Linked DNA regions of Macaca mulatta. The protein of the gene in region 6 interacts with the protein of the main gene of each other region in a pairwise test. Links are inferred from orthologs where the notes say so. Each region holds a gene or a part of one and is shown on either strand. Other genes may lie near its edges.

Evidence for each region.
Region 1: the proteins of NDEL1 (region 6) and CCSER1 interact in binary tests that used the Homo sapiens proteins (3 or more experiments, as listed by UniProt). The link is inferred for Macaca mulatta from reciprocal best matches to the Homo sapiens genes NDEL1 and CCSER1.
Region 2: the proteins of NDEL1 (region 6) and MRC2 interact in a two-hybrid assay, tested with the Homo sapiens proteins (2 studies listed by BioGRID and IntAct). The link is inferred for Macaca mulatta from reciprocal best matches to the Homo sapiens genes NDEL1 and MRC2.
Region 3: the proteins of NDEL1 (region 6) and CENPF interact in binary tests that used the Homo sapiens proteins (3 or more experiments, as listed by UniProt). The link is inferred for Macaca mulatta from reciprocal best matches to the Homo sapiens genes NDEL1 and CENPF.
Region 4: the proteins of NDEL1 (region 6) and PKP2 interact in binary tests that used the Homo sapiens proteins (3 or more experiments, as listed by UniProt). The link is inferred for Macaca mulatta from reciprocal best matches to the Homo sapiens genes NDEL1 and PKP2.
Region 5: the proteins of NDEL1 (region 6) and DIXDC1 interact in binary tests that used the Homo sapiens proteins (3 or more experiments, as listed by UniProt). The link is inferred for Macaca mulatta from reciprocal best matches to the Homo sapiens genes NDEL1 and DIXDC1.
Region 7: the proteins of NDEL1 (region 6) and KALRN interact in a two-hybrid assay, tested with the Homo sapiens proteins (2 studies listed by BioGRID and IntAct). The link is inferred for Macaca mulatta from reciprocal best matches to the Homo sapiens genes NDEL1 and KALRN.

What each region holds. Positions count from the first base shown.
Region 1 is NC_133410.1:99,938,835-99,942,334, forward strand, and holds part of CCSER1 (serine-rich coiled-coil domain-containing protein 1), read left to right. Parts: intron 1-1,769; coding exon 1,770-1,977; intron 1,978-3,500.
Region 2 is NC_133421.1:72,455,024-72,458,523, reverse strand, and holds part of MRC2 (C-type mannose receptor 2), read right to left. Parts: intron 1,545-3,500; coding exon 1,356-1,544; intron 1,196-1,355; coding exon 1,041-1,195; intron 1-1,040. UniProt on the Homo sapiens protein: May play a role as endocytotic lectin receptor displaying calcium-dependent lectin activity. Internalizes glycosylated ligands from the extracellular space for release in an endosomal compartment via clathrin-mediated endocytosis.
Region 3 is NC_133406.1:72,355,181-72,358,680, reverse strand, and holds part of CENPF (centromere protein F), read right to left. Parts: coding exon 3,049-3,500; intron 1,617-3,048; coding exon 1,438-1,616; intron 1-1,437. UniProt on the Homo sapiens protein: Required for kinetochore function and chromosome segregation in mitosis. Required for kinetochore localization of dynein, LIS1, NDE1 and NDEL1.
Region 4 is NC_133416.1:35,099,682-35,103,837, forward strand, and holds the start of PKP2 (plakophilin-2), read right to left. Parts: upstream 2,801-4,156; 5' UTR 2,734-2,800; coding exon 2,511-2,733; intron 1-2,510. UniProt on the Homo sapiens protein: A component of desmosome cell-cell junctions which are required for positive regulation of cellular adhesion.
Region 5 is NC_133419.1:112,733,754-112,737,253, reverse strand, and holds part of DIXDC1 (dixin), read right to left. Parts: intron 1,931-3,500; coding exon 1,841-1,930; intron 298-1,840; coding exon 244-297; intron 1-243. UniProt on the Homo sapiens protein: Positive effector of the Wnt signaling pathway; activates WNT3A signaling via DVL2. Regulates JNK activation by AXIN1 and DVL2.
Region 6 is NC_133421.1:9,952,856-9,956,355, forward strand, and holds part of NDEL1 (nuclear distribution protein nudE-like 1), read left to right. Parts: intron 1-1,398; coding exon 1,399-1,572; intron 1,573-3,500. UniProt on the Homo sapiens protein: Required for organization of the cellular microtubule array and microtubule anchoring at the centrosome. May regulate microtubule organization at least in part by targeting the microtubule severing protein KATNA1 to the centrosome.
Region 7 is NC_133407.1:159,033,730-159,036,001, forward strand, and holds part of KALRN (kalirin), read right to left. Parts: intron 1,175-2,272; coding exon 1,036-1,174; intron 122-1,035; coding exon 1-121. UniProt on the Homo sapiens protein: Promotes the exchange of GDP by GTP. Activates specific Rho GTPase family members, thereby inducing various signaling mechanisms that regulate neuronal shape, growth, and plasticity, through their effects on the actin cytoskeleton.

The DNA.
Region 1 (3,500 bases), on a different chromosome or scaffold from region 6:
CTAATTTAATATATACCTACTGTGACTTCTAATGTTTATATTTGATTTTATTCTTATTGGTCTTAGAGAAAATAGCCCTAGAAAGCATTAACACTAAATAGAAGCCTATAAGAATGACTGTATAGTTCATTGCAAGTTGGACATAATATAATTAAATTGGATCAATTGTATCAGATTAAGTATACACTTTAAAGTGAAAATGTTAATGTTTCTTAGTATAACTGTAAGTATACTATTTTGTTCAATTGCATGCTTGTTTTCCACACAAAATGCAACACTGTAGTGGTTTAGAGCTAAGTGTGCATTACCAGCATTCAAACCTCAGCAATATCCCTTGTTAGCTGTGTAACTATCAGCAAGTTACTTAACCTCTCTTGACTGGAATCACCCCATTGGGAAATGGAGATTATAATAGTACCTAAAAGAATTGTTGTGACAATTACATGATTTAAAACCTATTAGTTACGTGACTGCCTGAGGTTCAATAAGAACTATATAAATATTAGCTATTATTATATGTATGCACATTATGTAGTTAGTAGGGGGAAAAATCCTAGGTTAGTTCATTTTACATCCACTTCTTACTAACTCTTTAACAACAAGAAAAGTTACTTATCTGTGCTTTATATTTACCTCTTGAAGTTATTCAAGGTTTGAATGAATTAACACACATGGAGTGGTTAGCACAGTACTTGGACAGTAGTCAACCCTCAAAAAATGTTAGCCATAATTTTTTATTCATTATTTCATTATAAATATAAAATGGAGGTAATAATTATTATCTTATCCCTTCAAAGGACAATTGAACCACTGAACATACCTGTGAAGATAAGTAAACAATTGAATATTATTCAAAAATGTGTTTACTAATTATCTGGTAATTTACAAATTCAGTTATTCTGTTTGTGAATAATCACACATGAATAAAATTAATTAAAAATATATTTTCTTATCTGTATTATTGCCTGACCTTGGTGGCAAGTGCCAGAGCATCTGTTTGTTTTTTTCTCTATTTAAGTTGCTAAGGTATCTTGTCATATAATTTAGAAAATTATATGATATAAAATATATAAGAAAATAACATAATTCAGAAATGTGTATGTATACATATATATATATATATATATATAATTGAAATTAAACACAAGCCCTAAAAAGTATGTTACAATATTAATTATCATTATTGGATAGGTCTCTTGGTTTTAAAAATGGAAAGAATTTTTTAATGGAATGATTATATCCTAAAACTGCAATTTTCATTGAATCTTAACACTAAATATGTATTTGACCCATTCCATAATTTCTACTGTAATGTCTGAAAATTTTTAAAAACTAATGTCGTGAGGCTGGGAGCAGTGGTTCATGTCTGTAATCCCAGCACTTTGAGAGGCCAAGGCAGGCGGATCATGAGATGAGGAGATCAAGGCCATCCTGGCTAACACGGTGAAACCCCGTCTCTACTAAAAATACAAAAAATTAGCCAGGCATGGTGGCGGGCGCATGTAGTCCCAACTACTCGGGAGGCTGAGGCAGGAGAATGGCGTGAACACGGGAGGCGGAGCTTGTAGTGAGCCGAGATTGCATCACTGCACTCCAGACTGGGCGACAGAGCGAGACTCCGTCTCAAAATAATGATAATAATAATATCATGAAATGAGGACACAAGAAACACTTTCTAGGATACTAGAACCACTGATCAACAACTTGGGAAATACTGCTGTAAGCATGCTGCACTGTAATTTTTGTTCTTTTTTTTTTTTTCTTATTAGGAATCTTTCCCTGAAATTAACAAAGGACGTTGATCAAGAAGCCAGGTGTTCCCACATCAGCCGAATGCCCAACAGTCCATCTGCGGATTGGCCCCTACAAGGTGTGGAAGAAAACGGAGGCATAGATTCTTTGCCATTCAGACTGATGTTACAGGACTGCACAGCAGTCAAGACGTTATTATTAAAGATGAAGAGAGTTCTTCAAGAGGTAATGGTTTGCTCTAAGATTAATGTCCTTCAGTGCTGGTAGACAATGAAGTCAGAAGACGTGGTGAGACCCTGCTCTGTCAGTGATTAACTGCATGGCATTGTGCAGGGGTGGGGTTTCCTCTTGGACCTTAGCTAGTCTCATATGTCAAATGAATGTTTTGAAGTTCTGGTTTATAAGGTACTCTTTAGCCTTAAAATTTTAAGAGCTTACGAAATACTTAAAAAATAATAAACTAATCCCAAACATCCTCCAATTTGTCAGTTAAGGAGAAATTGATGTCAGCTATAAAGTTATGGTTACATGCTATTATAAAGCTATTGAGAGATCTATTAAATGTATTTCACATCAATGATACTGGGCTTTGTTTTTATGATACCATAAAAGTAGTTTACTTAGTCGTTTTTGTTCCAATAATAATCAGAATTCAGTAAAGTTGAATTACAGTAAAATTCAATCTGAAGGTTGGAATGATTTTGCCTAAGGAATGCAGCTACCCTCCACACAATCTGGGCCTAGTTAGTGAAAGAGTGAGCTAGTCAGGAAAATGCATCATGGGATTCTTTTACACTTGTGCCCAGAAATCAGCCATTCTTTAGGATTCAAGTTTGCTTTGGTTTAATTGTTATAATTACAACATTTGTTTTATTTGAAGGATTTCTATAAAACGTATACACACGATTATTATTGAATCGTGACATGTGAAGTGAGAGTTAATAATTTTAAATTATTTTCCTCAAGTAAGTGTAATTTCAGGGCAACAGCCTGAAATTTGTGTCTTTGTATTACATCCCATTATCTTTAAGTAGATTTACCTTTATTGATTGGAGATATTAATAAAGAATTGAGAAAAATATTATTATTTAGAATTGATAGTCTCTATGTTATAATGATTGCTACCATTTGCTTTTTGAACACTTTCATAATAATGCTAGCAGTTACCACTGGAGGCTAGAATTGAATCAGGAAGAAAGAAGGCCTTATAAGATAAATGAATGCCATAGACTATTGGGGCTTCCAGTGTGCTCTCATCAGCTGTTATAAACTGTATTAGTCTGTTCTTACACTGCTAATAAAGACATACCTGAGGCTATGTAGTTTATAAAGGAAAGACATTTAGTTGACTTACAGTTCCACATGGCTGGGGAGGCCTCACAATCACAGTGGAAGGCGATGAAGGAACAAAGTCACATTTTACATGGCGGCAGGCAACAGAGCTTGTGCCCGGAAACTCTTATTTATAAAACCATCAGATCTCATGAGACTTATTCACTACCATGAGAACTGTATTTGGGGAACCACCCCCACGATTCAATTAGCTCCACATGGCCCCCCACCTTGACACATGAGGATTATTATGATTAAAGCTGAGACTTGGGTGGGGACACAGTCAAACCATATCGTAAACAAAAACTGGAAGATATCTTCTCTGTGTCCCATACAGGTTGTATCACTAGGGCAACCTTTGTTTCTGCATTTTCTGGATCCTATAATGTGTTGTGCTGGAGTGGTATGCTTATACC
Region 2 (3,500 bases), about 63 Mb from region 6:
CAGGCGTGTTTGTGTATCCCAGCACCCAGAAAAATGCCTGGCACATAGTAGATACTCAATACGTAATTGTTTTAAAATTCTTAAATAGCATCCCCTAAGGCAAATGACTGCCACTATAGTCCCCAGCATTGTTTGCAGTATGTGACAGCAGAACATCCTCTCTGTCCCTAGGAAGGGTGGTCTGTGTCACTACGGCTTTCTCCTTTTTTTTTTTTTGAGACAGGGTCTTGCTCTGTCACCCAGGCTAGAGTGCAGTCATGTAATATCAGCTCACTGCAGCGTCTGCCTCCCAGGTTCAAGCGCTTCTCTTGCCTCAGCCTCTCGAGTAGCTGGGATTACAGGCATCTGCCACCACGCCTGGCTAATTTTTGTATTTTTAGTAGAGACGGGGTTTCACCATGTTGGCCAGGCTGGTCTTGAACTCCTGACCTCAAGTGATCCACCCGCCTCAGCCTCCCAAAGTGCTGGGATTATAGGCGTGAGCCACCGCACTCAACTGGCTTTGTCCCTTTTTAAAGGGTCTTTCTTCTCTGCTTGAAGCCCTTCATCAATTCCTTCACTTCCACCACATCTAAGCCCAAACCATGGCAAATTGTCATAACCCAACAATTTCTTGAGATGACAGGACCCTGGGCTGGGTAGAGCACTGGGGGTGAGGGCTGGCAGAGAGCAGCCCTGCTTGCAAAGTATCTGCACATAATGTGGGTTCTGATGCCACCTTCTGGCAGGGAAGGGCAGCTGGGAGGAGACCAAGAATGCACCAGGCACTGCGCCTAAGGTTTCCCGAGAATTAATTCCTCCAATCTCACCAATGACCCTCTAGTAACTTGCTCAGGGTGACTTGGCTAGCTGGAGGTGGATTCAAGTCCCAGCAGTCTCTCACGTGGAAGGGAAGGCATTGGTGGGGAGGAGGGGGACTGCTGAGAGGCAAGAGGTTCCAGGCAGGTACTGATAATAACTAGGATATCCTTCAGCTGGGGTAGCACCTGGAGGTTGGGGGTGTATTTTGTGGCCCTGTGATAGGGAGAGGGAGGTCTCACCGGGCCCCAGATGGTGACACAGTCCTCCAGACTGTCCCGGAAGTTGTTGGGCTCAAAGGGGTGCCAGTGGGTGAAGCTCACAAGGCTCCCGTCAGACCACTCAAAATTCATCTGCAGTTTCAAATCGTTGAGGCCGATCCACAGCTCCTCCACCTCTGGGGGTGCAGCAGGAGAGGAGGGGAGAGAAGACATTGAGAGGTCAGCCTCAGCCACCAGTAGGGAGGAAGGAACATTTTCTGAGGCTCCTGGGCAGGATGGGTGGGGCAGTGGGAGGCCCTGCCCTCCACCCAGACACATGGGCGGGCAGCTCCTCACCTTGCTTGATCTGCTTGGTGATGAATTCCAGCTCTGCCATGCTGTGGATGCTGACCAGGTCACCACCGCCCCGTAGACACGCCTTCTTGGACTCCTGCCAGCTGCGCTTCTCGGCCTGCAGGCGGTAGCAGTGGCCCTGGAAGGGCTGCCAGCTTGGCTCACACTCCACCTTCACATTGGCCCACCTGTCTGCAGAGACCCATGAGGCCGCTGCTCAGAGACCGAGCCACCCAGTCTGGGCACCAACCCACTGGGTTGATGTCAACACAGGCGAGGCCTCCAAGTCACCTCCTCTCCAAACTCTCCCAGGTCAATCCCGGTCCCAACCACAGGTCTTGGAAATGCTAAAAGAATAAAATCTTACAGGGCTGCTGGAGCCCCAGGGGCAGAGACCCAAGTAGTGGTGGCAGATTCCACCCAGGACAGAACAGTTCCTCTGGCTGTGGCTCTCAGAATACAATGGGTGGGCCAGGCATGGTGGCTCAGGCCTGTAATCTCAGCACTTTGGAAGGCTGAGGCTGGAGGATTGCTTGAGGCCAGGAGTTCAGGAACAGACTGGGCAACAAAGGGGAGACCCTATCTCTATAAAAAATAAAAAATTAGCCAGGCATGGTGATGTGTGCCTGTGATCCCACTACTCAGGAGGCTGAGGTGGGAGGATCACTTGACCGGGGAGGTCAAGGCTGCAGTTAGCCATGATTGCACCACTGCACCCCAGCCTTGGCGACACAGCAAGACCTTATCGCAATCAATGCATCAATCAGTCAATAAACAATGGGTAGAAAGTCAGGACAAACCAGCCCCATGAGCCTCAGTTTCTTCCTCTGTAAATGGGGTTTCCAGCTATGAGATTCAAGCTTGGCTTGCGGCCACCCTGCCTAGTAAATGGAACCACTGTTATTCTCTCAAATAACATTTATTGAGCACCCACTCTGTGCAGGTCTGGGCAGCCCAGGAGGGAGAAAATTGGGAAACGGGGCCTTGAGCCACTAATGGGGCCCAGGCAGGCCCAGCAGGAATCTGAGGTCTTGGTGGGTGGGCGGCCGAGAACATTAGAAGGTGCTCAAAGTCACTGCAGATCGGCCCCATCCCCCAGCTGGGGCTCCTTCTCTTGCTCCTTTCCCCCTCCAAACTCCTAACCCTGAACCCCAGGGCTGAGAAATCCACCCGTCCCAGGCCCTCCCTTGCCCCAACTTCCGTGCCTTTCAGGTTCACCTTCTAGGGGTTGGGGTCCGAGGGCAGCTGAGGCAAACGAGCTCTTACTTGGTCTTGGCAAGAGAAAACAGGACTTCACCAAACCACCCACAGTGTCAGGCTCGGGCAGGATTCTGCCTAGCCGGGCAGGAAAGCGCGCGCCCACTAGAACACGGCCTCAGACTGGGATTCCAGTAGTCCAGCCACACCTGCTCCTGGAGACCCGGCAAAGCTGGGCGGGCGGAGAGCCCGACCGGGCTCGCTCTCTGGCTCAGGACCTGTCAATCATCTCTTGTTAGCCAATGAGCTAAGACCTGAGGCTGGCGCCCCAGACAAGCGGATTTTAGTGGCTGCTGAGACCCCAGGGGCCTCAGGACCCGGAAGGGAGCTTGGGAAATGTGGATGCTTTGGGGACACGACGGCGCCTGCCTTCGAAATGACAGGACTTTAAGTGATGATACCGGGAAAGCAGAACCTGCCTAGAATATGCCTCGTGCAGAGAGATATGGGCTGGGGAGAGGGGCGGAAATCCGAGGTCTTAGATCTGTCTGCAGTTCCGGGAAGACCCAGAGGACAGAGGACTTGGTGGGGGCCACAGATAGGCTAGGCATGCCCACACCCGGGCCTCCCAGCGGGTCCCTTCCTTCAGAAAGCTGCTTCTGGGAGGACTGGGCTAGGGCCCAAGGCTCCCTCCAGCTAGAGATGAGGGTGCCTTAGATCGGGCTGCTGACGTTGCAAGCTTCTGCTCCTGGCCCCTTAGGGAATGAGAGATAAAGCAGTGGTCAACAGTCCTGAATCAGGCCGGAGCCCTGGCTCACGCCTGTAATCCCAGCACTTTGGGAGGCCGAGGCGGGTGAATCACTTGAAGACAGGAGTTCGAAATCAGCCTGGGCAACATGGTGAAACCCCATCTCTAAAAATACAAAAAAACAAAACAAAACAAAACTAGCC
Region 3 (3,500 bases), on a different chromosome or scaffold from region 6:
TCAGTATATTAAATATATATTCTCCAGTATATACTTCAGTATTTTGTTGTTGGCAGCATGCAAAAGTTAAATCCAAATGTGAGTGAGAGAGAGAATTTGGTAGGGGAGGGGAGAAAAAATTGCACAAAATGGTAGAATATTTCTAATAAGAGTAACAAATGGGTCCACTTCAGTGAAAGAAAATCTCAGATCATTCTTCTTCATACTTGAATAAAAATTTTATTATAATGTATTTATTATAATCATAATGTATATTATTCATTACTAAGTATAACTCCTTAATGCTTATAGCTCTTATACATCAACAAAAACAAATTTGCAAACCTGTTGTTGTGATGTTCAGATTAAGAAATCTAAATATATTGTACTCTTTAGATCGCCCACATGTAACCACCAATGTGTTCACATTTGGTATCCCAAATCCTAAGAACGTGTTTGCTCACTTATGAATTATCACATTACACAAATAGGGGTTATTACACTTTCAAAGCTTTGTTTTCTGGTTCAAGGTTATCAGATCGCATACTTGATCAAACTCTGACAAGTGAGCAATCAAGGTAAAATCACAGACTGTTCAAACTCTTTGAAGTTATTCCAGCAACTTCCAAAAATATTCCCCTAGTCCCCAGTCTGACAAACACTGGTATCGTAGAAAGATCAAGACTGTGGAGGTGAGAGGAAGAGGAAGCAGGGGTTCACACTGGGAGGTTAAATCTTTATGAGTCTCACGATTTTCACTCTTTTATAATACCACTTACTGTGAGACTTCAATAAAATGAGAAAGATAAATAAAATGCATATACTATGCATACTTAAATGGTAGCTGCTGGTATGGATCACAGTAACAGGAATAAAGATCTGTTAAGCAAATATTCTCTATGCTCTACATAACATCTTCTGGGACGTTGTAGGGTGCACAGAGGTCACTAAGATCCTTTTGATCCTCAACAATCAAAATAGAGAAAGAAATCCATAAACAGAGTTCCTTTCGTTAGATATCTATTGAAATATGTGCTTCCTTTTTTAAAAGAAAGTAAAGGATTAATAAAAACAATAAAAAATTCGCAGCTGGAGGCAGGTAAGTGAGAGTAAAGTTTGAAACTAATACCAGTGGCAAAAAGGAAAATTACCTCTTCAAATCCTTCATCAGTAACACCTGAAACTTTCTTAGAAATCCACCGAGTTTTTAATGTAACAATGCCATTTTCCGTCAAACTACGTATAAATGGCCTGTTGACTCAAGCATGAGATCATGTACCCTGATACTGTAATGCTCACCCGGTCACTTGCTCACTACTGACTGACTGACACCACACCAAGAAGGTCAGACTTTTTGAAAGGGCTCCTGAATCAGGGGGTGCAGTGTCCAATCCTCACCCAGGTAATACTGCAATTTTCTGGATCTCAAACAGTAGATGGATGTTGACGGTAGTTTACCTTTTGTGATCTGCTGCCACCAGCTGTTGGTTTGGAGGACTCTGCAAGATTTTCTTTGCCGAGACTCAGTGGGGATAGCGCTAACTTCTGTGCAGCCAGGCGGGGGCTGGTCCGGGTTGCCATGGTTGTTCTCCGCAGGATATATGGGCTAGTCTTTCCTGTCGGGATGTCAGCAAACCCTAAGGGCAAAAAAGCTAACTGTCAGCACTGCTAGGTCCAATTCTATCTACAATGGAAAAGATATTCATTAGGTGGTTTTAACAAGGATAATGTAAACTCCAAAAAATACTTTGTCCTAGCCACTTTGGTCAATGGATTACACTTCACAGTTGCTCTGGGAGTCACCAAATTGAATCAAGTAACAAACAGGTTTTTTCTTATTAGAAACATAGAAAATAACAATGGGAAAAGAAGGGGAAAATAATACTACACAGAAAAAGTTTTTTCTGCTTCTATCTTCTACATGGATGTTTTCCTTTGCATTTTTCTAAGATCTAAAGAATGCCAGCAGGCCTTATCGTAAAATTGGGTTGGGGGAAAAAGGAGAGTACAATGCAAAAATAAAATATATATATAAAAGAAAGGCAAGTGCTTGTTTAAAGGGGGAAAATGTAAAATGGTAACAGCTACTTCAGGCGAGCACTCTAATGTAGGTGGGAGGAGAGAAACTGACCTTCCTAAAGGTGACTTCACCCTCACTCGGGTTGTCTCTTTCCACAAAAGAAAGTGACATGACTTTTGATGACCCAGGAAAGAAAGTCAATCCCAGGGATACTAAGAGTTAATGTATCAACACACACTCCAGAACTGCATTCAGGGCTAACTAAAGCAGCATTTGTTTTTGTTTTTCACACACTACATATAAAAATTACCAGTGAAAGATAGATAACTATTTTGGGGCTAGAGTTACTCAGAACAATGCTTTTCAAACCATCTATGGCACAGAATCAGTTTAGATATTTGGGGGCGGAAGGGGGTCAAAGAATTTCCAATCTGCTGTGGAATAATATTTTTGTATAATATAATGAGAACAAATCAATAGAAAAAATGATATGTGCTTGGATGTTACAAAAATATCAAGTTGCTATGAAAATTTCTAAAGTCCTACTTAATTACAATACATTGTTTCAATCAGGAACCAATAACAAACAGTTCCTAGACTGGCACCAGTCCTTGGGCCAGACTTGGGAGAAAACCAAGTTTAAAAAAACAAAACAACGTGTAGTCAGTGGCTCCAGCCAGGAGGCCAGCACCACAGGGTGGACCCTCCAGCTCACCTGCTAGCTAGGTCAGACATGACCAAAGGGTAGGAAACCCTGAAGGGCGTCCTTGATTTAACCATTTTTTTCAGCATTCAAATAACAAATTCTAAAGAGATTTTAGACAGTCATTTTACCAATCTACCAGCTCTTTTGTTAATATGACACAAATAATGAGATCCCCGAGGAAAATATATGCCTCATCCATTTAAAAGCAGACTATTGTTTATGAACATCAATGAGATTATTGCACAATAATGTAAAAAAGCAAATACTTTTGTCTTTTTATATGTGAACCATTACATGGAATTTCAAAAGAACACAAATAATTTTGTTTTAAAATTAGGCATACCTTTCTTTACAACTTCGGGAAGTCCCTCTGGCTCAAACTGAGTACCTTCTGTGTCTTCTGCAGGGTGAATACCACTCATGACTGCTTTCTTGCTTTTTTTAGAAAAGGTCTCTGGAGTAGAAGGTGTTGGTCCTCTACCATTCTCCCATATCCCACTGGACCTTTGCCTCTTGCCTGAAGCTTTTTTCTGGCCAGATGATAACCTCTTTTCAGCAGCAGAAAGGATTGGAGATGGTCCTGGAACAACTGGATCTAGCAAAGGAGACCCTCGGGAATCTGGTTTAGATTGCTGTGAACAGAGATGGGCCACTTGTGTCTCTAACATCTCTTTAGCTTTCTCTAACTTTTCGTGGCTTATAAGCAAGGAACAGTACTTATCCAAGTATTCGTCTGCCTCCTTGGTTTTTTCTTCAAGAGCCTCTTTTAGTTCTTTGATCTCAGTAGTTAATTCA
Region 4 (4,156 bases), on a different chromosome or scaffold from region 6:
GTGCAATGGCGCGATCTCCACTCACTGCAACCTCTACCTCTCCGGTTCAAGCGATTCTCCTGACTCAGCCTTCCGAGTAGCTGGGATTACAGGCATCCCCCACCAAGCCCGGCTAATTTTTTGTATTTTTGGTGGAGATGGGGTTTTACCATGTTGGTCAGGCTGGTCTCAAACTCCCGACCTCAGGTGATCCTCCCGCCTCGGCTTCCCAAAGTGCTGGGATTACAGGCATGAGCCACCATGCTCGGCCAATTTACACTTCTAAACTCCATTAATATATTAGCCATTCTTTTAGGTCACTTACTACTTTTTATTTGGTAATGTATTTTTCTAGCAGTTGACTTCCTTCTTTAAACTTTTTGCTTTAAAGCAAGCAGAGTCTTTGTGTTTAATTCAGCACCTGCACAGTGCCCAGCATGAATAACATACTCATTTGATGCTTGCTGAATTCACCACACAGGTGATGCATTACATTGTAGAGAGAACAGATTGTGTGTGGAGTTGGGATTAAATTTCCAACCAATGCTGACAGACACATAGTTCATATGTGAGATGGATTCTCGTATCTGTCTCACACAATTGTTTCAAGAATACGGTGAAGATTCTGGAATAGGCACATAGTAGATGCTCAGCAACATTCCCTTTTCTTCTGTTCATGGCTCCATTTATGGAAGAGTTGTATCTGCTTGTTCTCTTCCTGGCTGGCCATTCTCATGGATAAGAAAGAACATCTAATATGCCTCCTGTGTCCCCCACGCAGAGGAAGCTGATTTGATTTCAGTTTAGCACTGGACCTATGGGCACAGAGAATGAATGGGTGTGATGGCTCCACTCATCAAAGACTGGCCTCACTCATCCTGGAATCTTTAGTCAGACTCCTAAGTCTAAATATAAGGTCTTTCCCTCCATGTATTGCAGCAGTTCTGTGTTTTCTAGACCTCCCCAGCCTTTCAGAAATTCCTCAATTTTATTTAAAGAAAATGAGAGGGGGCCATGGAGAGGCTTAGCATCTAACAAATCCCACTTTGTATTAATCATTTTAAAACTTAATGATAAAACTGATAAGTTTAAAAATCAGGTTTGGGAGTTTAAATACCAGCTCTGCCACTTACCATCTATGAAAGCCTCAGTGTTACTTAACTGCTTAGTTTCCTCATCTGTAAAATGAGGATTCAAATACTAGCTCACAAGTTTTTAAATATATATATATCTCAAATGAATGCAAACCACATTGCCCAATTCTTGGCACATACTAGGCCCTCAGTTATATTAACTATGATCATTGAACATCTTCTCTTTACCTTTCAAGTATGTTAACATTGACTACCTGATCCTTTCGGATTCTTTTACACGAACAGTACAGCCTCCCAGACTCTGCTGTTTGAAACCTGTGGTCTGGCCTGTTAGAATTTTTCTATTTTCCTAGCAGAAATTAGAATGGGTTAGCCTACATTCGCCAATGCCCAAGTTTACTTCATACAGAAACAATTGCACGTTGCAGGAAACAGATATTCCAACTTAATTGCTCAATTTCTTTCCTCTCCTTTTTGCTATAATAAGCCAACATAGTGCTTTTATAATGCAAACTCACACACACAACAAGTAAAACAAGGGTTACTGAGTTGATCCGATCACCTGACTTCAGCAGGGGAGAAAAGGATACATCATGATCTCTAATTTTTACAAGTGGCTTGCCATCTTCTTTCCCTTCACCTCCCCCGTCTATCAATCACGAACATAGTGTGCGTGTGTGTGCTTACACCCTTTTCACCTCCGGGTTTAATTTTTTGGAGGGATCAGCCTTGCACCACACCCGCATTGGTGGGGGTGGGAAGCGCAGCTAGGCGGGCAGGGCTGTTGCCGGCAGGGCCAAAGTCCCCTACCTCCCCCTCGGCGTGTTTGTTCCCTGGACCAAAGCCTCCTAGCCACTTTCTTCACTCCCTAGATCTACAACTCGCCTCCTAAGAGGGTGGAGCGTCCCGAAGTACTAGCACAAGACAACACAATCCCAATTTATAGGTTGTAGGAGCGCCAGTGCTGTCGGGTTTTTTTTTTTTTTCCAAGATATTTATGGAGGTCATGAACTATTTAACAAATCTAATAAAAGTGAAGGGCTCCTTCTCCCAGAAAAAGATCGTACACACCAAAATTCTGCATAGCATCTCAAGGTGTTTATAGACTCCCTGAACCTCCAAATTAAGTCCGCACCACCGAGGGGTGCGGACGGGCGGAGTAGAAAAAGAAAGGGGTGATATCTTGAAGTGAGGTCTTTAACACTGATAGATATGTGCAATATTTAATATACATAGGTATCTATATGACGAAGCTGAGTAATAGGTTATGGAAAAGAGTGCTTTCCACAAGCAAGTCGGTCACACCGAGGACGGCGAGCAACAGGTGGGCACAACATGGGGTCCCGCACTCCCAGCACGCGGGGTGAGGGCGGGATAGGAAGAGGCGACGGGGTGCGGGGCAGGGGGCGGCGCCGGGGAGCGGCGGGCTCCACTCACCGTTGCCCACGGAGCTGCGGCCCTTCCGGGCGAGGGTCTGCTGCACCTGCTCCTGGATCCGCAGGCTCTTGACTGTCTGGCCGCCGCGGCCGCTGCTCCCCGCCAGCTTCAGCTTGGCCTCGGAAGGCAGCGCCAGGCTGGAGCTGTCCAGTTGTCCCAGGATCTGCTGGCCCAGGACGGTCCGGATGTAGCCGTACTCAGCTGGGGCGCCGGGGGCTGCCATGGGGCCGGTGGGGGCGACCGAGCCGCTCGCCTGCCTTGGGACTCGCGGGCGAAGCAGCCACGGAGCTGGGGGCGCTGGCGCGAGCCCCGCCCCGCTCGGGTCCGGCCCCGCCCCTGGCCCGCCCCCAGCGCCGGTGAGAGGCCCGGGCCGGGGGGAGCTCGGCCTCGTGGGCTGGACGCCCGGCCTTCCCTGGGGAGGGGGCGCGGCTCCGGCCGGGCACGCGCAGTCGGGCCCGGGGAGCGGGGGCGGGCCCTGCCGCGCGCGCGGACACCTGGTGACTTGTACCCGCCCGCGGGGAGGTGGGGAGAGAGGTGCGGTTCGCCCGGGGTCGCGCACGTTGTCGGAGTTCCAGCGGATATCGCCTGCCCTGCCGGGGCCGCGCCCCGCTCTGCCCACGCCCCGCGCTGGACAGGATGGATTTCCGCTTGATGCAGGGAGGGGCTGCCCTGCAGGCAGGTGCGCCCTGGAGAGTCACTCCTGTTCTTAGACTGAGGCTTGCCTGCGGGATCCCCGAGCGAGTAGTATGTTTGGTTAGTCAGGCTTTGTCGGACTGTTGGAAACGTTTCCTGGTTTTCCTGGACCCAAGGGTGAGAAAGGGCTATTTGGTCAGGCGGAAAGGGCAATATGAGGGAAATGTGCCAAGAAGATGACATGTGTGAAATAAAAGACTTTCTAAAGAGTGTTTTTTTCTTAGTACAACTTCAGGACTATGTACTTTTTGCACAGATGCAGTCCCAGAAACATATGTTCTTCCTCATTGAGAGCTTCTGTTTTCTCTTGAAGATACACGAATTGTACCCTGTACTCTTGCTCACCCATTCCTCTCTTACGAACACACCCACACAGAGAAACTCCAGCAAGAGGCTCTAGAGAAGAAATGAATTTTAATAGACGATGCTTTTTTAATAGCCCTTTTAACGTTGATTAAGTTCTCTTTATTGCAGGTTCTTTATAGAGAGATCCACAGAGAAGGCCTCCAATTTCAATCGAATCTTCCACAACTTGTATTTATCGTGCTATTAATTATGTTTCACCGCAGTTGACTACTGAGAACTTGAGAGCTAAGCTCAACAGAAAGGATCCTCGACCTTAAAGTTTACAACCAAAGCCACTTGTCCTGATTTTCCTCTTTGGACTTAAGAGGCAGAAAGAAAAACATGTATCCCTGGTATTAAGTAAGATAATCTTCCCTTTGATTGCTTGGGTTTGTATGTTCACTTTCTCTCAAATCACTCAATTGCTGCAAAACCCCACTTACTCAAATCTGGAGTGTTTGGCGAACGCAGCTTCCCTCCTCTCCATTTTCCTACCCACACCCTTCTGCCTTTAGACACACACCGAATGCTTAGACACACAAGGCACAGGTGTATGGCCTCCGTTTTTACATGAGCGTCCAGGGAGTGAAGAGGAAACCAAAGGACTG
Region 5 (3,500 bases), on a different chromosome or scaffold from region 6:
AGCAATTCTCCTGCCTCAGCCTCCCGAGTAGCTGGGACTACAGATGTGTGCCAGCACGCCCGGCTGATTTTTTGTATTTTTAGTAGAGACAGGGTTTTGCCATGTTAGCCAAGATGGTCTTGATCTCCCGACCTTGTGATCTGCCCACCGCAGCCTCCTGAAGTGCTGGGATTACAGGCGTGAGCCACCGTGCCCGGCCCCCATAATGTTTTTAAGGGGTAAAATATATATGTCTTGACATACCTTTAAGTCCTGATTCTCCTCCATACTCTGATCCAGACGACTTTGGATTATAATCTGAATATAAGACAAAAAGAGATAGCTAAACACCTATGCCGTGAAGTTCAGAGGCCACTCATTCAACAAATATTTATTGAGCACTACTAGATGCCAGCTCTGTACTGTGGATACAAAGAAGAACCGGAAACAGTTCCTGTTCTCTGATGGAAGCATATGCATCAAGTAGCAGGTAGATCTATGTGGATAAAGCTTAAAATAAGTATGGGTGGGCCAGGTGTGGTGGCTCACATCTGTAATCCCAGCACTTTGGGAGGCCGAGGCAGGCAGATCACTTGAGGTTAGGTGTTCAAGACCAGCCTGGCCAACATGGTGAAACCCCACCTCTACTAGAAATACAAAAATTAGCCAGGTGTGGTGGTATACACCTGTAATCCCAGCTACTCGGGAGGCCGAGGCAGGAGAATCACTTGAACCCAGGAGGTAGAGGTTGCAGTGAGCCAAGATCGTGCCACTGCACTCCAGCCTGGGCAACAGAGCAAGACTGTCTCAAAAAAAAAAAAAAAAAAAAAGAGGAAGTATGGGGTGGGGGTTGGATGCAGGGGAGGGGGTGGGGTAAAAGGAAGAAGAAATGGCAAGAGATGAAGTTGGAGAGAAATATCAGGGCCAGATCATGAAAGGCCAGTGAGGGCAATGGGGAATCAATGAAAAGTTTTATGCAGAAGGGTGACAAAATGAAGTCTGTCTTTAAAGCAAATTATTCTTGCTGTTTTACAAAAAATGAATTAGAGGAAGACAGGAGAGGAATCAGGTAAACCAGTTAGAAGGTTGCTAGAATACTGGATGGAGGCTTGATTTTTAAGTGGCTGTGAGAATGGAGAAAACTGGATAAAGAAATTAGAAATGTAAACTGGTAAAACCTGGTGACTGACTGATGTAGAGGAAAAGGATTAAACGATAATATCCAGATTTCTATTTGGTGCATTTAGGTATCCAAAACAGATATCCAAAAGGACAAGTAGCTTTGGTGGTTGGGCAGAGGACAGAAAAACTTTAATTTAGGACTCACTGAAATTGAGATGCTTATGGGACTTACAAGTGGAGATAATAAGTAGGCAGTTGCATATTGCATACACACATCTAGAACTCCATAGTGAGGGCCGAGCTGGAAATAAATACATGAGAAGCAAGACGGAAGTGAGTGAAGAACTGGAGGCAGATACTACTGCCCAGGTGAATGTTTAAGACACATGAGGGCCTAGACTGGAATGCTGAGGAACACTAACATTAAAGGCACAAGCAGAAAAAGAGAAGCTTCAAAGAGAACTTGAATGTAAACTCCGTAAGAGTCGGGTCTTAGGTCTGTTTTGTTGCTACCATATCTCCAGCATGTTGAAATAGGGTCTGGCATATAGTCAGCACTCAATAAATATTTTTTTTATTAAATGAATGAAGAAGGAAACAATGTTCAAAAATGTAGGAGGAAAACCAGAACTGGTCAAGGAAGACAGCATTTCAAGAAGACACGAACAGCAGTGTCAAATGCTAAACACAAGTCAAATACATACAAATTTAGCGTCCAGTCACAAAAGATGGAGCTCACCAGTTGTTCCTCGGGATTGACACCTGGTTCACAGAAGGCCAAGGGCCTCTCCTGTTCATCTTCAGGTAAGGATCCGTTGAGCAATAAGGCCTAAATAACCGCAAAGGCAGAACGAAACTTAACTCTCCTTCAGATGACTTAGTGCAGAGTTAAGCTCACCCCTAGTTAAAATCACAACTCAGCTTCCTCAAGAAATTTCATCGGTAATTTTTGCTCCTTAGATACTTCCCATTGCTCACCCTGGGACTAGTTCCTTTCATCAGGTCCATGCTCTGGCTCTTTCAGCTCTCTGGACACCTGACTGCTCTGCTTCAAGGTGCCTTGGCCCCAGAAGAAAATCTAAAAACCTTTCTTTCAAAAGAGACACAACACATTTCAAACTGGAGCTGCTCAAACTCAATTTTACCAGGGAGAAAATGATCTAAAAGCAGTGTAGAATCATCGCGGCTTAGAAATGAGTATTATAATGAATTATTTGGAATCCATTTGGAGCACTCACTTGAGTTTGTTTGATTTTTGTTTGTTTTACTGATTCTGCATTTTTACTCCCTAAAGCAACCTGTATAGAACAAGAAGGAAAACACATTTGCAGAGAGATGTCCTCATTCATTTCAGCTCCTGACCCAGGCGGTTTTCATTAGAATATAAGTAGGTGGAATGGGGAGGCAGATTTACCATGAAGCTAAGAAAGCTCCAGCTGTAGGACCCCGCATACATTGCCTCTCCCAAGGTCCTATACCAAATAATAATATAATTATTATTACAATTATTATTATTATTATATTTGGAGACAGAGTCTCACTTTGTCACCCAGGCTGGAGTGCAGTGGCCCAATTTTGGCTCACTGAATCCAGGGTTCAAGCTATTCTCATGTCTTAGCCTCCCAAGTAGCTGGGATTAGAGGCATGCGCCACCACACCCGGCTAATTTTTGTATTTTTGGTAAAGACAAAGGTTTCGCCATATTGCCCAGGCTGGTCTCAAACCCGTGAGCTCAAGCAATCCACCCGCCTTGGCCTCCCAAAGTGCTGGGATTACAGGCGTGACCCACCATGCCTGGCCTATTCCTAATTATTATATTCAAAATTTTGTAATCTTATTCTTCAAGAAGCCCCCCTGCACACACACAAATTATATATTTTAGGACTTGCAAAACTTGGATCTGTCCCTGCAGGTGAGTATCTATCAGATCAGTGAAAGACTGAAAAATGTGACCCCATTTTATATCTGAAACAATTCTGTCTTGATTCAAAAGAGATGAGTTACAGAAGCTGTTTCCTATTTCAATAAACAACACAAATTCAGGTGGGCGAGGTGGCTCACACCTGTAATCCTAGAACTTTGGGAGGCCGAGGCGGAAGGATCCCTTGACGGTAGGAGTTTGAGATCAGCCTGGGCAACATAGTGGGACCGTCTCTACAAAAAATTAAAAAATTAGTTGAGCATGATGGCGCATGCATGTGGTCCCAACTACTCAAGAGGCTGAGGTGGGAGAATCACTTGAGCCCAGGAGACCAAGGCTGCAGTGAGCCATGATCATGCCACTGCACTCCAGCCTGGGCAACAGAGCGAGACTCCGTCTCAAAAATAAATAAATAAATAAAATCCAGCCAGTGGCTGATCTGCCATATGCTAATAATAAAATTTGAGTAAGTCAAATG
Region 6 (3,500 bases):
GTCTCAGTATGTTGGTCAGGCTGGTCTTGAATCCTTGGCCTTAAGTGATCCTTCTGGTTCTGTCTCCCAAAATGTTGGGATTATAGGTGTGAGCCACTGTGCCTGGCTTCTTAACCATTTTAAAGTGTACACTCCAGTAGTGTTAAGTATAGTCAAATTGTTGTGTAAACAAATTTTTAGAAGTTTTTCATCTTGCAAAACTGAAACTATACCTTTTGAATAGCGACTACCCATTTTCCCTTCCCTTCAGCCCCTGGCAACCACAGTTCTACTTTCTATGATACCTCATGTAAGGGAAATTATACTGTATTTGTGACTGGTTTATTTTACTTAGCATAATGTCCTCAAGGTTAATCCATGTGTAGTATGTGACAAAATTTCCTTCTTTAAGGCTGAATAATATTCCATTGTATGTATTCATTTTCTTTATCTGTTCATCTGTGGGTGGACATCGAGTTGCTCCCATCTCTTGCTATTGCAAATGATGCTGCTGTGAACATGGGTGTGCAAATACCTCTTTGAGATCCTGTTTTGAATTCTTTTGGATACATGCCCAAAAGGGGGATGACTTTGTTCCTTTTTTAACATAAGCAAATATTCTGTAGGTTAAATTGCATAATCGGAAAAGATAACATTAATTTTGGGTTAAAAACTTGATATTGGCTGGGTGTGATGGCTCACGCCTGTAATCCCAGAACTTTGGGAGACTGAGGCTGGCAGATCATTTGAGGTTAGGAGTTCGAGACCAGCCTGACCAACATAGTGAAACCCTGTCTCTACTAAAAATAGAAAAAAAATTAGCCAGGTGTGGTGGTGTGCCCCTGTAATCCCAGTTACTTGGGAGGCTGAGGCAAGAGAATCTCTTCAACCCAGGAGGTGGAGGTTGCAGTGAGCCGAGATTGTGTCACTGCACTGTAGCCTGGGCGACAGAGCAAGAAGAATGACAAATATTTAAACCACTCCGAATACTTTTCTAAAACTAAATATTTCATAGTAATAATAGTTAATGCCAACTCATTTAAAATTACAAAAATGCACTTAGTTGATTTTGCAATAACCCCAAAACTACAGCATTTGAAAATAAAAGCAAATGAGTTGGGAAGAATATTTACTTTTGTGTGAATTGTACTGTGGACTCTGCACTGTTACTTTTTGCATACGAGCATAAGTAATTTCTCTCAGATTGTAACATTTTTAAATTCTAAAAGATCATTTAGACAGTAGTTTTGCCATTTTTATTCCCCCTAGAAATAAAGTTGTTAATAATTAAATAGGAAATTCGTTTTTGAGAAATAGTAATTTAGGAAGAAGATCTTTATGACATTTTAGATGTCACTTTTCTTGATATATTTGCTCCCTCTAGTGAATATTCCTGCCCTTGTTTGGAATATTTTACAGATTTAAGGCAAGAACTAGCAGTTCGGGAAAGACAACAGGAAGTAACTAGAAAGTCGGCTCCTAGCTCTCCAACTCTGGACTGTGAAAAGATGGACTCCGCCGTCCAAGCATCACTCTCTTTGCCAGCTACCCCCGTTGGCAAAGGAACGGAGAACACTTTTCCATCACCGAAAGGTTTGTAATGTCTTTTCTTTTTGAGGCCATGTGTTAGATGATCAGCTTAAGGGGGTTTGTTGCTGAAGGCGGTTGCTAAGGTTTAAAGAGTAATTTTAGTTTAAAAGTTGGTGAAGTCTAGTGCTATGTGAAACAGAAGAAGGAATTGTTTTCCTAGGCCACTCATACATAGGAAACAGTGAAATGATGGCTACATTTAAGATGAGATTTTTAAAAGTTAAAGGTTTTTAGGGAAAATTTATTTTTTGATGATAGCAATAGATTTTGTGATTATAGCAGTACGTTTAGGTAGAAAATTTTAAAAACACAGAAAAAAAAAATAAAAATCATGTTATCTTACCACTTACAGGCATCCACCATTAACATTTTGAGTTTTTTTTCCTATTGTGTGCTTGTGTGTGTTTGTGCACATCTCTTTGTCACATACAGATTTGGGGATCATATTTAAATACAGTTTTATTTCTTCCTTTTGCCACTTTCCATGTCCTGAGAGACCTGAGGCCTTTCTACATAGAATGTACAGAGAATCATTAAGTTGCCTTTCAGACTCATGTAAGACCAGCTTGGGTAGACATGCCCATTCTGTTACATGCTTCAGGAGCTGCCATTTTCAAAAGCATCATTCGGAGTAATTGATGATTTGCACATACAGAATACTCACATTGCCATCGCCAGTGCGTTTTTTTAAATTCAGATAAGCAGAAAAACCATCTAGTAGCCACTAGATAGAACCTTACAATAGAATCCTAAAGCTCTCAATTGAGATTTGTTTAGATTTTGCAGCTCGCAGTTCATATTTCGGCTACTCTCATCCCCCCATGCTTTTTTTTTTTCCACCCTATATTGAAGCTGTCATCCCACCCTTTTTAAAATATGGGATTTTATCTTTCAGAATGCTGTGTGGGCAACTAGTACAGTGAGCTCTGTATGTCTGTGCTACTCAGTATATTATCACCAGCCCATGTGGCTATTTAAATGTATATTAAAATGAAATAAAATATAAAATTAAGTTTCTTGGTCACATTAACCACATTTCATGTGCTCAGTAGCCCTTGAGTAGATAATTCAACTTGTCTTTGCCTTGTTACGAGATGATATCAGATAAAGTATGTGCAGGTGCTATATGGTCATAAGGTGTTACTGATTGCACCAGTATGTGCCAGGTTTACTGCTGAGGACAAAGGGCAGGCAGTAGATTATTAGCAGTCACCAGGAGCCCTCATGGTCAGTTTTTCAGACTAGCCACTTGTGTATTCGAAGATTTCCCAATTACATCTGAGGACTAACAGTTTTAGTTTTATATTACTGATTAGAATTATGCAGATCTGAAAATCCTTTAGTTGAAGACTCATCAGAATAGTGAAAAGCCTCAGTTGAGGTGACACCCACAGGTGGTGCACATTTTTTTTAATAGCCCGTTAAGAATTTTCGTTCAGGGACTTGGGGAGTCAACAGGACATGGAGCCTGCTCTGACACAGCATGAGATGTGCCAACTGTATGGCAGTAGTATTTGCTTAATAGATATGTTTTTAGTCTGGAACCAATAGCATGAATTTTCACAGGCTAACCTAAAAGCTGCTGTGTACTAGATCACTGCAATTTCATTACAAGAAAGCACGGAATTGGTAGGGCGCAGTGGCTCACGCCTATAATTCCAGCACTTTGGGAGGCTGAGGTGGACGGATCACTAGGTCAGGAGATCGAGACCATCCTGGCTAACACGGTGAAACCCCGTCTCTACTAAAAATACAAAACATTAGCCGGCCGTGGTGGCGGGTGTTTGTAGTCCCAGCTGCTCGGGAGGCTGAGGCAGGAGAATGGCGTGAACCTGGGAGGCGGAGCTTGCAATGAGCCAAGATTGCGCCACTGCACTCCAGCCTGGGCAACAGAGCAAGACTCTGTCTCAAAAAAAAAAAGCACAGAATTG
Region 7 (2,272 bases), on a different chromosome or scaffold from region 6:
ACTCAGGGTTCCCCAGCAGGTGGTGAATGTGGAAGTGACCCGAAATCTGGACAGCATCCTCCAAGTCGATGAGCTTCACTCGAGGCACTGGAATCCGTAGGTCAATGAGCAGGTTTTCAGGCTGCGGAGATCCAAGGAGGAAGGGAGAAAAGAAGGGAAGTTCAGGCCTCTATTTTGACTACTCAAAAGACCTCATTAATTCAAACACAATTATGCTATTCTTTGATAAAGCCTATGGTGTATGGAAAATTCCCTATGCACTATGGAAACTGCATAGGAGACTTCAAAGTATCATTCTGAGCTTACTACACTTTGAGTTTGGGTTGTAATTCAGAGAAGTAGTTTGACATTGAAAATCATGTCTTCTTAACTACATTGCTTCTGCATTGAGTCAAGGAAATAATAAATTACTCATTTTGGTGAACAGGGGCTTCTTTTTGAGCAGCATGGAAGAAAACGTGACATTTGTTGGCTTACTTCTATGAAGTTAGATTAGGTAGGTAGAACTTCCCTACTTTCTCTCACACCAGATGTCATTGTGGCTCTGGTATATTCTCATTAATTCATGGATGATATACTTAAATTGTATGACAACCCAGATTCTCTTTAATAGTCATAATGGGATGGGCGTGGTGGCTCACATCTGTAATCCCAGCACTTTGGGAGGCCAAGGCGGGCGGATCACTTGAGGTCAGGAGATCAAGACCAGCCTGGCCAACATGATGAAACCCCATCTCTACTAAAAATACAAAAATTAGCCGGGTGTGGTGGCAGGCACCTGTAATCCCAGCTACTCGGGAGGCTAAGGCAGAAGAATTGCTTGTACCCAGGAGGCAGAGGTTGCAGTGAGCCGAGATTGCACCACTGCACTCCAGCCTCGGCAACAGAGTTGTCTCAAAAAAAAAAAAAAAAAAGTCATAATATTCTACTCTAAGTAAATAAAATGAATTTGAATTTATATTCCTTATGAGTAATGACTGTAAGTTGGACTTGGCCATTTAAGGTATTCCCTGCAAAGTTGACACTTCTTATTACCTTTATGTCCAAATGTGCAACCCTGCAGTTGTGAAGGTACTGCAGAGCCTCCATGATGTCTCGAATATAGAAAGCTACTTTTTCCTCCATCAGTTCATCATGATTCATAAGGTAGTCTAAGAGGCGGCCATCATCCATCCTGAAAGTAGGCAGGGAAAGGCAAAGGAAATATGTTTGATATGAAGAAATAGAAAAATAACACATATACAAATCAGTAAGAGCTCTAAGCTCTCTCATACTTCTTGTTATACATGAAGACTAAATGTGCAACACATGCATATTTAGTTAGAGCCTAAAGTTATTGTAATATTCAGAACTAAAATAAATATATTTACAAATATGGTGTACTGCAGGGAAGAAATATGAATGACCTTGTTTAGGAAACATTCTCCTTCATTAACTCTAAAAATTGCTCACAACAAAATGTTGTGACGACCATTTAAGAGGTTCGATTGCTAAGTAAAGAAAGCCTTCACCAAGAGGGACTTCAGCAATATTCTGATTAACCGTAGCCTAGGGGCTGCAAGCAACCCCACGTGTGTTTTGCAAAGTACTTCTTAATTTTATTTTATATTGATTTTAGAAATGAAGTCTCACTGTGTCACCCAGGCTGGAATGCTGTGGCACAATCATAGCTCACTGCAGCCTCGAACTCCTGGGCTCAAGTGATCCTCTTGCTTCAGCCTCTCACATAGCTGGGATTTCTGGAGGACGCCACTGCGTCTAGCCAAACTACTTTCATTTGTCAGTTTTTAGTTGGGGAAAACAGAAAGTAGGCAAAGTTTGTTCTTTGCATTATTGATTCTTTGCCCCACTCCCACCCTGCCACCTTTTTTTTGTTGTTGTTATTTGTTTGTTTTGTTTTTGAGACAGTCTTTCGCCCAGGCTGGAGTGTAGTGGCATGATCGCGGCTCACTGCAACCTCCGCCTCCCAGGTTCAAGCGATTCTGGTGTCTCAGCTCCCCAAGTAGCTGGGATTACAGGTGTGTGCCATCTCACCCAGCTAATTTTTGTATTTTTAGTAGAGACAGAGTTTTGCCATGTTGGCCAGGCTGGTCAGTAACTTCTGGTCTCAAGTGATCCACCCGCCTGGGCCTCCCAAAGTGCTGGGATTACCGGCATGAGCCACCGTGCCCGGCTCTTGATCCCTTTTTGAATCCTTTGCCTTCTGGGCAACTTTTCCAACCTTGAGAACTGTGATTGAGAACATGGTATATGGAGCCATCCAGACCCAGAT